2 linked regions of the Styela clava genome follow. The protein of the gene in region 2 interacts with the protein of the main gene of each other region in a pairwise test. Links are inferred from orthologs where the notes say so. Each region holds a gene or a part of one and is shown on either strand. Other genes may lie near its edges. The genes, in order: ATPase GET3-like and Golgi to ER traffic protein 4 homolog.

Evidence for each region.
Region 1: the proteins of Golgi to ER traffic protein 4 homolog (region 2) and ATPase GET3-like interact in a two-hybrid assay, tested with the Caenorhabditis elegans proteins (2 studies listed by BioGRID). The link is inferred for Styela clava from reciprocal best matches to the Caenorhabditis elegans genes cee-1 and asna-1.

The regions. Positions count from the first base shown.
Region 1 is NC_135257.1:15,085,285-15,093,234, reverse strand, and holds ATPase GET3-like, read right to left. Parts: upstream 2,759-7,950; 5' UTR 2,711-2,758; coding exon 1,685-2,710; 3' UTR 535-1,684; downstream 1-534. Other genes in the region: ATPase family AAA domain-containing protein 2B-like, read right to left, coding at 349-495. UniProt on the Caenorhabditis elegans protein: ATPase required for the post-translational delivery of tail-anchored (TA) proteins to the endoplasmic reticulum. Recognizes and selectively binds the transmembrane domain of TA proteins in the cytosol.
Region 2 is NC_135259.1:14,902,202-14,910,111, forward strand, and holds the start of Golgi to ER traffic protein 4 homolog, read right to left. Parts: upstream 3,007-7,910; 5' UTR 2,742-3,006; coding exon 2,623-2,741; intron 2,278-2,622; coding exon 2,199-2,277; intron 2,063-2,198; coding exon 1,981-2,062; intron 1,196-1,980; coding exon 1,040-1,195; intron 472-1,039; coding exon 333-471; intron 214-332; coding exon 73-213; intron 1-72. Other genes in the region: meiotic recombination protein DMC1/LIM15 homolog, read left to right, coding at 3,525-3,578, 4,177-4,221, 4,741-4,890, 5,228-5,310, 5,792-5,886, 6,039-6,203, 6,768-6,841, 6,964-7,078 and 1 more.

The sequences.
Region 1 (7,950 bases), on a different chromosome or scaffold from region 2:
AGAGCCGGAACCTGAGTTTATAGTTTATCTTTTTTTAATATTAAATTTCTAATAATAATTAAAAGTTTCAGGATCAATCTGTGAAATTGAGTTTATTTGAAATTTGAAACCCTCGTGTCATGGTTGCGAGTCCCACTTCACAAAAATAAACATCCATGGCTAAGGATCCCGGGCCAAATACATGATAAAAAAAGACGATGCTCTGGTGCCAGAGCTATAGACACAGTACCGGTCTCCCAAATCTGGAGCCAATGCGATTCCAAATCAGCTCCGCATACCCTGGGTTAATTCATTGCTAACTTTTTCTATCCAATCTCAGTGAGTCAAACATAAATTTAAAATAATTACCGAGTCACGTTGCTGTTTTGTAGCTCGAAAAGATTTATTTGCGGAATTGGGATGTTTCCTTATATTACTTCGACGTCCATGAATAATTCCTTTTCTTTTACTACCGACATTATTGTCCAAACTGTGACTCCTCCTGGTTGCAACCATTATTTCACCTTATACATCTTAATGACATTATAAGATAAATTCTAAAATAACAAGACAAAATTATTCCAAGCAAAATGATCTATATTTTGATTTATAATATGCACAATAACAATAGATATTTTGATCACAATTATTCTCAAATTGAGTCTGCTACGACATATAATGCATACTTCAAGAGAACATACTATGACTGTATACAAATTGAAAAAATAAAACATTTCTCGGAACGACAACTGGCAGTATTTCAATTTAGATTTAGCACGATTTTCTTTAATTCTTAAAAGTGCTTCAGAATCAAAATTAAAAAGTGATAGCAGAACTATAAGCATCTCTTAAAAACGAGATCAAGCTATAACTAAAATTACAATGCTCTATGATTTAAGTTTAACTAGACTTAACACAATTATAAAAGAATGTGACAAGATTTTTCACTGACATACTAGCTAAAGCCAAGGTTGTGTACTCAAGTGGGGTTTGTTTTTCAAGATATTATTGTGACATTCTGGCGACTTGATAAAAAACTATCAAACCTATATTTCTACAGGAAACTTGATTGGCACAAATTTTCAGTCCGGATAAAAGAAGAAAGTCCAGAAAAACATTAGAAAGTAATAGTTGGTCCAACTCAGAACATAAAAATTTACACAATTTCAACACATCACATAGATAACCTTCGACAAATAAAATTTACAAACATTGTTCACATCATCTATAGCCCATACTACAAAGCAATCACATACTATTACTGAAAGTTTATAATAACACGAGTTCATTTCCTATTGATACATACTTCACCGAAAGCATACATACAGTATTTATCACCATCTCTCAATTCACAGTAGTATCAGTGTATTTGTTATCAAAACTTATGGCACTGTGGGAAATATTTCCACTGAAGAACAGCATAATTGCCATAAGACAAAATAATGTCAATCATGTTCAATTACAAATAAAAATGTCATCCCATATTCCAAATTTTGCATCAAAATTACATCTGTCATTGATTGAATAATACAGGATTCGGAAAGTAAGAAAGATGCAGCATGAATGCCTAAAACTAAGTATCACATATACTGCAATCTTAATAAAGCTGTTTGAAGCGCCAATGACAGGTGCTCCAAATTTCAAATGGGATACAAGTATGTGACATTAAAATGTTCGACATTCTGATAATAAATTGTAACAGATTTTAATCTTTCTGGAAGTTTGGATGTTGTTTGATTAGATATTGTGAGAAGTTCTCAACTTTTTCAATTCCTCGAACTTCAGATTCAAGTAAAGGCATTTTTATAATGTGAAAATCTTCATACAAATCTTCAATTTGGTCAAGATATTTTGCTTGTAGTTTGCGTCTGGATTCACACAACTTACATGGTTTCTCTTGGGTCTGGGATAAAAGTTGGTTGACAATAATATTATGGGTATCTATCCCAATTTTTGCCAAGTCTTGAACAAGACGTTCAGTCTCATAAAGTGATAAAAATTCCGCAATGCAAACACAAACAAATGTAGTCATGGTTACGTCTTTAAATTGCTTATTAACTTCTCTTATTGTCGGTAAAATATCCTCAATTTTCCCTGCAATGCTTTCTGTATTTACTTCATCTCCAAGTCCAATAAATTTTCCCATTTGTGAAACAAGAGGACTTAATTTATTTTTAACTTTAAGTAGCTTTCCCAAACCCTTTTCAACCATGTCAGGAAAATTGAGAAGTCGCAGGGTATGACCAGTTGGAGCAGTGTCAAAAACAACAACATCAAAATTCATGCTTCTTACGAGCCTCATAACTTCAGCATAGCTGACAGCTTCATCAATGCCAGGAAATGCAGCAAACATTTCCTTCATTAGTTGTTTCCCCATACCAAGGAAACTATCTTCGTCTTCGGCAAATTCATCAGGAAGTTCAGCTGTACCAAGATTTGGATCAATTTCCATTGCAAATAAGTTGTCAAAGCCGGTTACTTTTGTCGGAACTTTAGAAAATTTTTGATTGAATGCATCAGAAACATTGTGAGCTGGATCTGTGGATATGATCAACACAAGATCACGAACTTTTGACAATTCAACGGCAAGACTGCAACTGCATGTTGTTTTTCCAACACCTCCTTTACCACCAACAAAAATCCACTTAAGGCTTTTCTCATTAACAATGTTTTCTAATGTTGGGGTAAGTGGTTCAAGATCATCTTCTGCATCATAAAATTGTTCTTCCATATTTCTAGTAATGATTTACTGATTTACTTTCTGTAACATTAATGAGAACATATCAATATGTAACACGAGAATATCGGTTGGAAACCGAAGACTTATCGATCGATAGTTAGGGGATCCCCCAAAACAGAAACTGCAGTTTCGATTCATCCGCTCTTGTAACTTGCGCACTGCGCATCGCACACACACACTCGGCGGGTTTCAAAATTCTCTCGCTTTACAAAAATCTAGATCACTATATCAATAATTGATTGATAACTCGCTAATTATACGACATGATTCGCCCAAAATCAATAGGCTTCTGGTCCGAGATAAGATGAATGCACATGCAAAATCTGGAGCAGATTCAATCTCGCTTTCGTGAGATATCGCGTGCATCTAACAGACACACACACAGACAGACAGACAGACAAATACCTATCAATATACTTACCTTAAGATCGATAAGTAAAAAGTAAAATGTGACTACATTAACTGATTATTTCGCAGAATGGCATATTTTCAGTACACTTATTTGTATCTTTCGCTAAGAACGAGGCCTTACAATCAGCCACCGATATCTAACGAAATGTAGAGATCTACTAGTTTTAAAGGCTCGGAATCTCTCTGGTTTTGCATTGCTTCGTCAATTTATTACGCTTTGGGAGAGTTGGTGGGCATGGGATTTGAACTAGCCTAAAGATACGCAACCTGCAACACCAGCATATTTAAGTCCAATGCTTTTCCAATAGACCATCGTGCCCAAACATGGAAAAATATTTTATTACACATGAGTGATATGGCGCATCACAGAGAACACAGGGAAAACTTCACCTCTTCAATTAAAAATACAATATGAACGATTTCCATAAATTGTTTTACTTCCTACAAATTGTCTTTGTAGTTTCCACAACCAGACATTGGCCATATAGTTTGGCCAATTGTAGTGGAAGATGGCAAAATTTGCTACCTCACTACAGCACTATGTAAATTAGGCTCATTTTTATCTGGCAAAAATTGTATTCTCATAGTAACCAGGGAAAAAAAAAGCCAAATAGTTTGGTTATCAATGATCTAGCAAACCATAGCCCCTTCTAATTTTACCAGTCCGATATTTCGGGTATGACCTGGTTCTGACACATCACATACCGGTACCGGTAATCACTGCATCCGTAGCTACGGTACCGGTACCGGTACGTTTGGATAGCGAAAAATAAAATTTAAAACTAATGAAAGCGACAATCTGAAAATCGCAACATGGCTTCGCCTCTTAATCTATGCACTATGAGAGTGTGGAGCCTGAACAAAAAATTGAACAGAGTGATATTCGTACTTCTGTACCTACTTCCTAAGTCTACCATCGCCATTCGCCAATCCAGCAGTCGCTGGATCCAAAGTGACTATAACACTTTATTATAGTCACTTTCGCTGATACGGGAAGATCGTAGTGCCCGCCAGGCGCCAACAGGCGCTTCGGAAACGCTCTGACGTCGTTTATCAGTGCGCCCGACGCGCATATATCAGTATATATTTACGGGCAGATTGATCCATGAGATGAAATGTATAACTGAAATTTTAATATAAGCCTTCCCTTATTTTTTTTACCACTAATACGGATCAGATCGATACACCTGGAATCCAGCCCAGAGTGTATCGACGGAAGTGTGATTTTATACCGATCATTTTCCTTGCCAAGAAAATATCACCACACCACATAAACTTCCTCTCATCACATCCGCTATATATTGGATGGTATTATCTTAGTAAAAAGAGAGATTTCCGAGCGTTTCATACATACGATCTGAGCTGCAATTTATGGTGGGTTATTGTAGTCTATCGTTTATTCTTCTTTCCAATTAGTTTCAGTGTAAAATTTCACGTGTAAATGGTTTTTTTCGCCCATCAGTATTTGTTCAAATATCAACCAAAATAAGTACTTGCCTGCTCTGCAGATCAAAATATCTGATTGTACGAATGTTAGGCGAAGCAAGTGGATCAATATCCGAGAGAACTAATAATGCAGAAAGAGCAACTCTTATTCCAAAAGATCATATGCGTCGCCAGAACTAGATACCCTACCGCAAAACGCCAGTTCTGATAATAGATGCGTCGTATGCAGCAAAATTCACATTATTGCCAAAAAACCAATCCAGCTGCTAAAGACAAAGCGTTGCTGAGACGATGCGAGACAGTATATAAGTACAAATACTGTAATGAGTACCTATATATAGGTAACGAAACCAACAACCATGGGTATAACTGGCAAACAAAGTGCAATATTGGATTTAGAATGTGTCTTTTATCTGCATAATATTTTCATGTTCTTCATTGTTCCGGGCACAACAAAGTGCAATATTCAATTCAAAATATTTTATCAAGCAGTCTTTTATGTACATACATTTTTCATGATCTTTATTGTTCCGTTATTTGCTAATAAAATCACAATCTTGTTCATATTGCGTATACGTAACCACAACTTAATGGGGCTTGAGCGGGCAGTCAAAGACAAAGCGTAGTGCGAATTTTGAATGCGTAGCATCGGGTTAATTAATTACTCCCTACGGACATTTAAATAATAACATCTCGACGTAACGTCATTGCGGATATCGTCACGTTTAGTTGCATTTGCGTAATATACGTAAAGTTGTGCGTGACGAGACGTAGCCTCTCTTCAATGAGAACATCATTTTGACGCAGCGTCGCTGGTAAATCTACAGATAATCTAATATATTTGGCCATAAAATTTGGATGGCTCATCGTAAAATCGTTTTGAATACGTATATAAAAAGCTATTCAAATTCTCCATATATATTGCCGATTGAATATTTGGCTATTCAGGCAAGAAGTCGAAATTCTTTATATTAAATATTTGTTATCATACAATAATTTCATACGCACTTTCAAATTGCCAATTTTACTGCAACATCGTATATTAGAGCACCGATATTTACAATATAATTAGTCCCAATAACAAGCTTTTTTTTAATACTCATTGTGGTTCTTGAGATACGAGATCATAAAGTCGATTCCTTCCGACACGAAAAACAAGCCGGTAAACCGGCTTGCCGGGGCACAGAGCGTACTCAAACAAGCCGGTAAACCGGCTTGCCGGGTTCAAGTGGTTAAGTCCCGGGATTCAAGATCGTGTACCTTTACCTTCACACAACCTTCTCCTTTTGATGGCGGATTGATCGGTGTATTTCCAATAGTTGAAGTTTGTGACGCGATGCCTTCCTAGTATTTGTTGATTCTCGTTGTTGTGGAGTTGAACTTAGTGTTCTACTAGGGCAGGGGTGGCATACCTATGGCGCATGCGCCAAACGTGGCGCATCGCATGATTAGAGGTGGCGCATTGCATCTTTAACCCTTTTCATGCCAAAATTGTTAATTGCACTTGGCTTCTCCACGCCAAGCCGTTTTTTTGCGATTTACATGGTGACTTTTGATTGTACCTAAAACCTATTCTTCTTACTCCACGTCGCCCACTTACGACTTGTTGGAATTAGAAACAACAGGCGATTATCGACGTTAGCTTTTGGATGGACTTGATGACATTCATTCTAGACTTTTAGCAAAAATTAGTAAAATTTACTATTTTTTCCCTACTGAAGTAAAAAGTTCAGAACTTCTGGAAAAATAGAAAATCGTCATTTATCAGCTTGAAACATGGATTTTCCATTGCCCAGACTTCCCAAATATCTCCCAATAACCATTGAACAACCAGTTGAATTGCCCAAGCCTAAAAAATCTCTTATAAATCAACCCACAACATGCTGAAAATGACCCCTAAATACCACCTTTTCCATCTAAATTTCAAATGACCATTGTCAACAAAAGCAAAGCGTAAAATCGCTTGCTGTGACGCAGGTACTAATCTCGAAGAAGCCCCTGGAGTCAAATCACGCGACGCTAGGCCAAATAGCTGATTAGCAAAGGCCAATTAGAATCGAGGGTAGAGTGGAGTAGAGATTGATACTAAGGGCCTGTTGTCACAATATTACGCCTAACTTTACTTCTTAATCGTACCTCACATAAAAGAACACCGTGAATGTGCTGCTGGTAATGGCAATTTGGCAATATACACAGAAAAAAATCAAGTTATTGCAAGAGTTATTTGAAAGTCGTTTTCATGATATTTCAAAAGAAGAAGACTCTATACTTGCTTTTATAAACCCATTTTCACTTAGTGAACTAACCATAATGAAGATGCCAAGCAATATACAATTGGAACTAATTGACTTGAAAACTCATCCATCATTGAAAATTCAATTTGATGAGCTTTCTTCGGTCCCAAGTGCATCTGACATGATCAAGTTCTGGCAATCGTTACCCCGTGAAAATTTTCCAGAACTGAGAAAATTTGACCAGGGTTTTATATGTCGTTTCGGAACGACATATAGATGTGAACAAACATTTTCTGCCATGAAACTAATTCAAAGCAAAGCGAGGTCAAGACTTACAGATTTAAATTTGAAGAATGCACTGCTCCTCTCAGTAACAAACTTAACTCCAAGAATAAAAAAACTGGCGAAAGTAAAACAGCAGCAAAAGTCTCATAAAGGCGGTACTTAAAATTGATCAGTTTTATTCATTATACTTCCTTGCTTAATTTCTATTCATGTGAAGTTGTAAATTGTAAAAACTACATATACGTGTGTATATATGTGTGTGTATCATAGATTTATATAATTTCAACAAGACGCGGACATTAGGCGTGGGAATACAAGAGATTTACGGCGCATGGTATGTGAAAGGTTGGCCACCCCTGTACTAGGGTCTTCACATCCGGACTAGTTCACGAGCGTTTTATACATACGATGGGAGCTACTATTTATGGTGGGTTATTGTGGTCGATCATTTTTTCTTCTTTCCAATTAGTTTCAGTTCCAGAGTGGTGCAAACGAGGATTCAGAGGAAGATGTTTCTTCTCGATTCCGTTTGTTTGTATAGTCAGTTTCCAAAGTCGAGTGGGTTAAGTCAAGATCCAGTTGTCGTGGCAGAGGCATGTTGTTTTAGCTGGAGCGGAGAGGATCCCATGCGGTGATGCGCTAAACAAAGAAGGCGGTATTAAGTCCCGGGATTTAAGATTGTGAAACTTTACCTTCACACAATCTTCTCCATTTGATGGCGGATTGAACGGTGTATTTCCTATAGTTGAAGTTTGATTAAGACGCGATGGCTTTATGGTATTTGTTGATTCTCGTTGTTGTGGAGATGGACTTTGTGTTCCTCCAGGGTCTTCACATTTGGACCAGTTTAACTTA
Region 2 (7,910 bases):
ATCTGCTAACTCAAGCTACAGCTGCTGAAATATGAACCGATGTGAAACTACGAACAAAAACTAACGACTTACGTTTCAACAGCTGAGAGAAGAAAAAATAAGAAATTAAGAAGAGGAATCGTGAATGGCCATTTCTTTCCACATCTCGGATGTTTCTCTGTGTATGTATTAAACGCATCACTAGCTGGTTGTTTCGCTTGAATGCACAATAACCTGTTTTAAATATAACTTTTAATAAAGAAGGAGAATAGTCGTTTTATTTTGAAATAAATTTAGCTTGAGCGAAAAATTAAAATTTGAGTAAAAAACAAGTAAAATACATTATATCTCACTGTAAAACGAATTGTGCTATAAAAAGATCATCTTCTTCTTTCTTCCCATGCTGGACTGAGAATTCAACTAACATTTCACCAGATCCTACTCCATCATTTGAATATAAGAAATGCTGTCTGGCTTCGCCATACAATTTTTCTATAAATAGAAATAAAAATAGATTTTCTTACTCAGTATTGAACGGAAGATTACTTACTAAAAACTAGAGTAAAGAAAAAGGTTGTAAATTGTAATAATACTATTTTATACACAAGTTTCCATAAAGAAATATATCATGCCTTCAGCTGGAAGTTAGGATTCACATATTTATCCTGGTGGAAAGGAAAGGATTAGACGGCTTAATCATAGGGTGAACCATGGCTTCACGTCCAGTTACCAGTCCATGTCGGGTAAGGGGTTTAGGTATTCAGTTGTTTGTTTTCAGATGCATGGACTTGATGGTGGAGGAAGACGTAAGCCGTAACCGATGATTACTTGAACCTCCTTCTCGGCTCTCGCACATAATTATCCCCCACAAAATTCGAACGAGCAAACAAAAGTGGAGTAATCAGAAGTGGGGTATAATAGAAAGAATAGCATTATGCAAGTATTACTGATGCGCTATGAGCTATGTAATAAAAATAGCAGATGGCAGTTGACAAAATACTAGTAACATTTTTGGTCAATACTACATTAACGATATATGTGCGTAAAAAATACGAATTACCTTTCCATAGATTATGAGCAAACGCATGCCTTATTTTTGCATGGCCTGTTTTAGGAACACCATCAGTATGTGTTGACCATGTAATCGCTTTCACTTCAAAATTTGATAACTGTGGATGAGATACACCAATGTTCTTATGAAGATTCCCGATTGTTACTGCAAAACGAGAAGTTTGTTAACTAATATAGCATATCAGTAATGAATGAAAAAACCTTTACAAATTGCATATTTTTTTTTAATTTGAATCCCTTTCAACACAACTGCAAATTATTTTCTGCATTTTTGTGTTCAAAGAATTATGATGATATATCTATAGTTCAAATCCCAAAGCCCCCACTCCACCCAAGGTGTCTATGTAAGAAATGCTGAATTGCGAAAATTTCGAAAAGATTCCGGTCCTTCTGAATTATATCATTGGTTGCTGGTATAAGGTCATGTTTGAAGCAAAAGGCGTGAATGAGCGCCTGATTGAAAAAAATCTCGGGTAATTCACAAATCCTCGAGTAAAATAAAACATGGAATCAAACTAGCTATAACCCCTGACACAGCTCCAAGTAAAGATGCCTATACCCAAATAATTTTCTGTTCTGTCAAACTAAATAAACGATACGCGGCGGTGTGGCTCAACGGGCTAAGCGTTAGGAATACGCTCGCCACCGCACCTCTAATTACTCTGCGTGGGTTCGCAGGTTCGAATCCCATGCAGGGATGGTTATGTGCGTTGGGTGGTTCACGTAACCGCTGGTTGGTTACGGCTTCCTCCACCACCAAGTCCATGCTTCCGAAAACAAACAATACAGTAAAACTAATCCCATACCCGACTTGGAATGGTAACCGGACGAGAGGCCGTGGTTCGCCATATGGATAAGCCGTCTTATCGGGTTTCTTCTCCTTGGGATAAATATGTAAATCCTATTCCTATCCTATGTGATAATAATTACCAATCAGCTCTTCAGTCACTGGAGCTTTAGCGGATTCCAACGAATCTAATAGAAGCAAGGATAAATCAACTCCACTGCCACTCTGTAAATTTTAAAAACAGTCATAAACGACAAACATTATTGAACCGCAACAAGAACGCTTCGTCACACTTTGACATACTCCTGATAACCTGAATGGCACAAAAGTGATTTTGACAATGATAATAATGTTTTCTTACCTCATTCTTCGAAAAGAACAAAAAAGCCCCAGCTTGCATTAAATTCTGAACTTCTTTATGCCTGTTTTGCGCCATATATCTGAAAAATAGTTATGATAATTATACTTTCTAATAACCACACTTTCTCGATATCAACATCTTGATTTCGACACTTATGATGTACTATGGTGCATGAATGTTTTATAACATGTAGCAAAAATAATAGTAAAACAAATACTGAAACTGTGAAAGATAGAAAATGAAAAAACATTGTCTAAATTCAGAGTTAGAATGTTAGATGAATTCATATACCGTTTTGTCTGCAGGGTCTGCCAAAAATAGTTAAAACCCTGTAACCTAATACTACAATATCTGAATATAGACTACAGATATAATAACTGACAAACATTGCGTTTGAGAATTTAGAAAATAAAACCACATTCACCTGGAAAAAAGAGTTCTGTACATCTGATGAGCTTCATAGTAATTTCCATTTTGAATACTTGCTTCCAACTTTTTTTCAACGCGGCCCACTCCCCCTCGTCCCCCAGTATGGGATGCCATGACTTTCTGACGCTTATTAGTGGGCTCTTCAAAAACAGGTGTTGAGCGTTTGGCCGACGTGTTGATTTTGACTGTCTTTCTGATTTAGGCTATGAAAATAATCCAGAAACGTATTTATCGCCCAACGGCGGAAGGAAATCAATTGACAGGGCTGTTCATCAGTGCACACATACAATCAATAAATTCGGGAATGAAGAAACGAAGTCGCAATGAGGAACAAATCGAAAAACAAATTCGGCAGCTCGTTTTCTTTTCTGAAGTGCGTAGAGTCCCACAATAAACCGTGCGTTGTAATTGCAATAGCATGGTTGAAAATAACAATAAAAATGATTTATCCTAAATCAGTTTCCTCATTTAAATATTTTTTAAAGGTAAATTCTAAAATTTAGTTTATTTATATCGTAAAAATCATAGAATATCAAAACAAAACATGTGGAGAATTTGTTCAACCGGAGCATCTATATTAATGATATCATAATTTTGAAGATTAATACTGGACTATATTTTTATTTCTTTTCTATTTTTGAAAAAATGAAAAGATTTTTATAATTGTTAGAAAAAGGAATAGTTATACATAAAATGCATGGTTTGCTAGACATTGTAAGTCCGTCATTTTGAATGCAAGTAATTCATTTCAAAATTTATTCTGGCAACTAATGTCACCAGACGACTTCGTCGCTTTTCCGCTCTTCCTGGTCTGAATATTCGCTTTGTCATTCGCCCATAGTTTTTCTACTATTCTTCATAAAGCATTTGCACTTTATTATAAATATTAACGTCGCGATGCAACAACAAAAAGTAGTAGATTCGAATGCAGAAGACTTCAGTGATGGAGAGGTAAGTTATAAGATAGTTGCAGAAGTGCCGGTAGGTTTGGTTAGAAATACAATATTTTCCGCATTTCATGTCATAGGAAATCTGTGCAGTTCAAAAGCAATATCCCCATAAGGGAAAGGAAATTGACGCTACGAGCGTAACTCAATCTAATACATAAATTCTTTTAAAGACTTTTATCCATCCATCACTGTGTCTTATTATTTACGACTTTTGTTAGTATCTTATGTTTGACTTTTTTTTTCTTTGTATGATTTAATTTTAGATTCACTCCCTTGTAGGTGACGCTGCTCGATAACCATCCCTGGTTTATCGCGTCTCCTTTCACGCTGAAACGTATTTTTTTATATCCTTCGTATCTATGTTTGTCCATTGTGTACTTTTTGTATGTGATAAAATAAACTACTGACTGACTGACTGACATCCTGCCAAACCATCTGAAGTAAAGTAGTCTGGGTAAACTAAGCTTGACTAGTTTGGTTATACACATTTCCAAAAGTAATATTCATTCCATCTAATTCCAAATGTGAGATCAATTACTATCATAGCTTGTATGGCATCGCAATTTCCGATCAATTAACAAGTCCAATTTTAATTACAGGAAGCTACATTCCAAGATATTGATATGCTACAGGATCAAGGCATCGTAAGTTGATAAACATTTGAAACGGAATTTTAAAAAATGACAATCTTGTTTTTAACTATTTTTTATATTTTTCAAGCCTGATAACGAAGATCTAACTTTTGCCATGTTCATGACGTTTCAATTATTTTCAACATTTACCCCAATCGATTCAAATTAGTCGTTATTTACGCTGGAATTCAACTCTCATTTATGTCTATTTGAGGCTATTACAGCTTCCGTTATTTTCGAAAATATCAGAGCTATATAATATGATTTCCGTATTTAGTCCGGGAAAACGAAACGGGAAAACATCTTGTCCGGTTATCTGTATATGTCGGGTATGGGAACAGGTATTCGTTTCAGATGCAGTATTTTTGCATGTTACCTAATTCCCAGATTCAATGTAATGTCATTTGCATATTAAACACCATTAGTTTTTCCAAAATTGTTTATTACTACATGTATGTATGTAGTAATAAATGTATGTATGACAAATGGCAATTAAACGCTCAGTTTGATCTTCGTTTTATTGAACTTCAGAATGCGGCAGATTTGAAAAAGCTCAAAGCAGCGGGAATATGCACAATAAAAGGCGTTCAAATGACTACGAAAAAGGCTCTTTCTAACATCAAAGGAATCTCCGAAGCAAAAGTTGAAAAAATCAAGGAGGCGGCTTCAAAGATGGCAATTGTAGATGAGAGGTTTTATTGTTATTTGTCCAGCTGGCGCGTATCACCAGGTCATGTTTGGGACACTGTTTCCACGCCCTATTACGATAAAGTGCTTTGATACAGACGGATATCGAATCGAAAATATTTCTCATTTCATTGGCTACAATTTGCGTGAATATTGAAGTCCGTAGTTTGAATTTCTCGCAATTTTTTTCTTCTCCTATTCCATTACAATATTCAAATATCACATCAAAGCCGATAATATACCTTCGAAATATAGATCAAGCGTAATCTGGTGATACCATCCCCGGCTGGTTTATAAAATTTTGGTAGCGCAAAATATTTACGAAATTTAGGATTCTGGGTTTATGTCTGCTCTCAACTTCAGTATGAAGAGAAAGCAATGCTTCAAGATTTCAACTGGAAGCGAAGACTTAGAGTAAGTGAACTTATGTCTCAAAGTTATTTATTAACTATATGTTATGCAGGGGCGTAGCCGTAGATTGGTTTTGCCCCCCTTTGAAATTAAATTAAAATAAAATCATCTTTCTGTATCATACAACGCTTAAACCTCTCAAGACTCACGAAAACACACGTTCTCCGGACTCGCTAGCTGTTTCGATCAAACTTAAAAAATTCTAATTTCAGAAGCCCCCCCCCCCCCCCCTTTGAAGATCTCCGGCTACGCCACTGTGTTATATGTAGGCATCAGCCTATTTCAAAAGACAGCAAGTTCAGATAAAAATTATCTTCTGATCAGTATTATCATGAAACAATAACACACCTTATTATAATTATTAGTAGTTAAAGGTTTGTGACAATCACCGAAATTTAGTCGAAAAAGTCTCGTCACCAGTACAACATCCAATCATGCCTGAAGCCGGCGTTATCTATGTATTAATTTTTTTTCTTTTATTCAGCAAACTTCTAGGAGGAGGTGTAGAGAGTATGGCCATTACTGAAGTTTTTGGAGAATTTCGCACAGGAAAAACACAAATTTCACATACACTGTGTGGTATGTCCAGTCCGTTTTATATAAAATCTAATTCCGGTATAATTTGCCCATTTATTTATTTTATATATTAAATTAGTTCGCCGGTAATGTTTATCACCATATTCAGTTATTAATATTATATGATTTACTATTATTACATTTTTCTTTTTTAGTTACAACACAAATGCCAGGAGCGATGGGATACACAGGAGGAAAAGTTGTTTTCATCGACACGGAAAATACATTTCGTCCTGATAGACTTCGACCTATTGCCGATCGTTTCAATCTGGATCAAGCTGCTGTCTTGGACAACGTCTTGTATGCTAGGGCTTACACAAGTATGTATTTATTTTCATTACATTATGAATCTTTCGGCGAGTAGGACATGTCCGATATGATTTGATTCGCGTGTGAAACCAAGGTTTGTTCGGCAGTGATATTTGTTCCGATTTATCGCTCTTGTAAATTTATCATTCTTCTGAAAAATAACACTGGGGGCCTATTTTCGGGAGAGGTCTTATATTTTCATTTATCAAAAACAAAATTACAAAGTAGAGAATTACGAATTATGAAAACCGATATCCATTTACTTATAAATAACACGTTTTTATTTAAAATAACTGCAAAACATAGATTTCTTGCTATTGACTATAGATAAAAAAAAATCGCGATGTTGACTAGGTCTTATTCAAGGGGGAGGGCTTATATTAAAATCTTTTTTTAAATTCAGGCTAGGTCTTATTTTTGGGGAAACACGGTAGCAGTATAGGTTCATAAAATAATGTAAAAAATTTCCAACATACTTGCGTGCCAATGCCACGTCCCTGACATTTTCCTTGTATAGTTTATATTTATAGATTCGATTGACTGGCTCTTCAATGACCACTTTATCTTACTTACAGGTGAGCATCAGATGGAACTCCTTGACCACGTTGCCGCAAAATTTCATGAAGAAGCTGGAATTTTCAAATTGCTGGTATAGATTTTTTTATCAAAACGGACAAATCCATGCACAGCGAAAAATCTATTACGTAAACTTGGCATACCGCGTAACTAGTGACAAGCTTTTTCTTTTGTAAAGTATAATCTTTTTTACAGATCGTGGACTCAATCATGGCACTATTTCGTGTCGATTTTAGTGGTAGAGGAGAGCTTGCAGATCGACAACAAAAGTTGGCTCAAATGTTATCGAGATTGCAAAAAATATCTGAAGGTAAGATGAAATCGGTGGTTTGCCCACCCTGATAACTTCGTCGCTTTTGTCGATATTTTTTACATCGTGTGGCGAATGCGGTGTATTTCATTGTTAAATTTCTTGATCGTGGTTTTAATTGGTACTACAATTCCACAGTTTTGAGTGACACAGCAGTGTATTTGATAAATGCACAACAATGGCAGACTCTTTCTGTTATATATCTTTGCGATTTGAAAACAAAATAGTCACAAGTTACAGATATTGCGTAGCTTATACACACCTTTATTCCGTATTGACTAGAGTAGTAGTATTTTTAAATTAGATGACTTTTACCAATCTTCCTATTTTTTTTTTAGAATACAACGTTGCCGTGTTTGTTACAAATCAAATGACAGCTGATCCCGGAGCCGCAATGAGGTAACGATATTCACTGACGTAACGTCTGTTTGTATTTTATTAAAAAAAAGTTATCTCACCAATCCAATACTGCGAGAAATATAGGAGACCAATATTACATTACTTTCAAACAGAAAAAATTATCTTCAATGAATATTTATAAATTCAAAGAAAATTTGTCGTGACATAATGGTCAAATATTTATATGTAATTCTGAAAACGTCATTATTACAGTGATAGCAGAATTGAAAAAGCAGGTGAAAAATATCAGTTGGGCTTTCCATAGTAATATTACTCTCCCCATTCTGCCGATCGGGACATATTTTTCACTATGGTTTAATTTTTGATACATTATATTTATGTCTGGAGTCTGATACAGACAGTATATAAATGGCGGTGATAACATTTGAAAAAAAGTTAAGCTATTTTTCATTTATATGCAACTACTCGATAC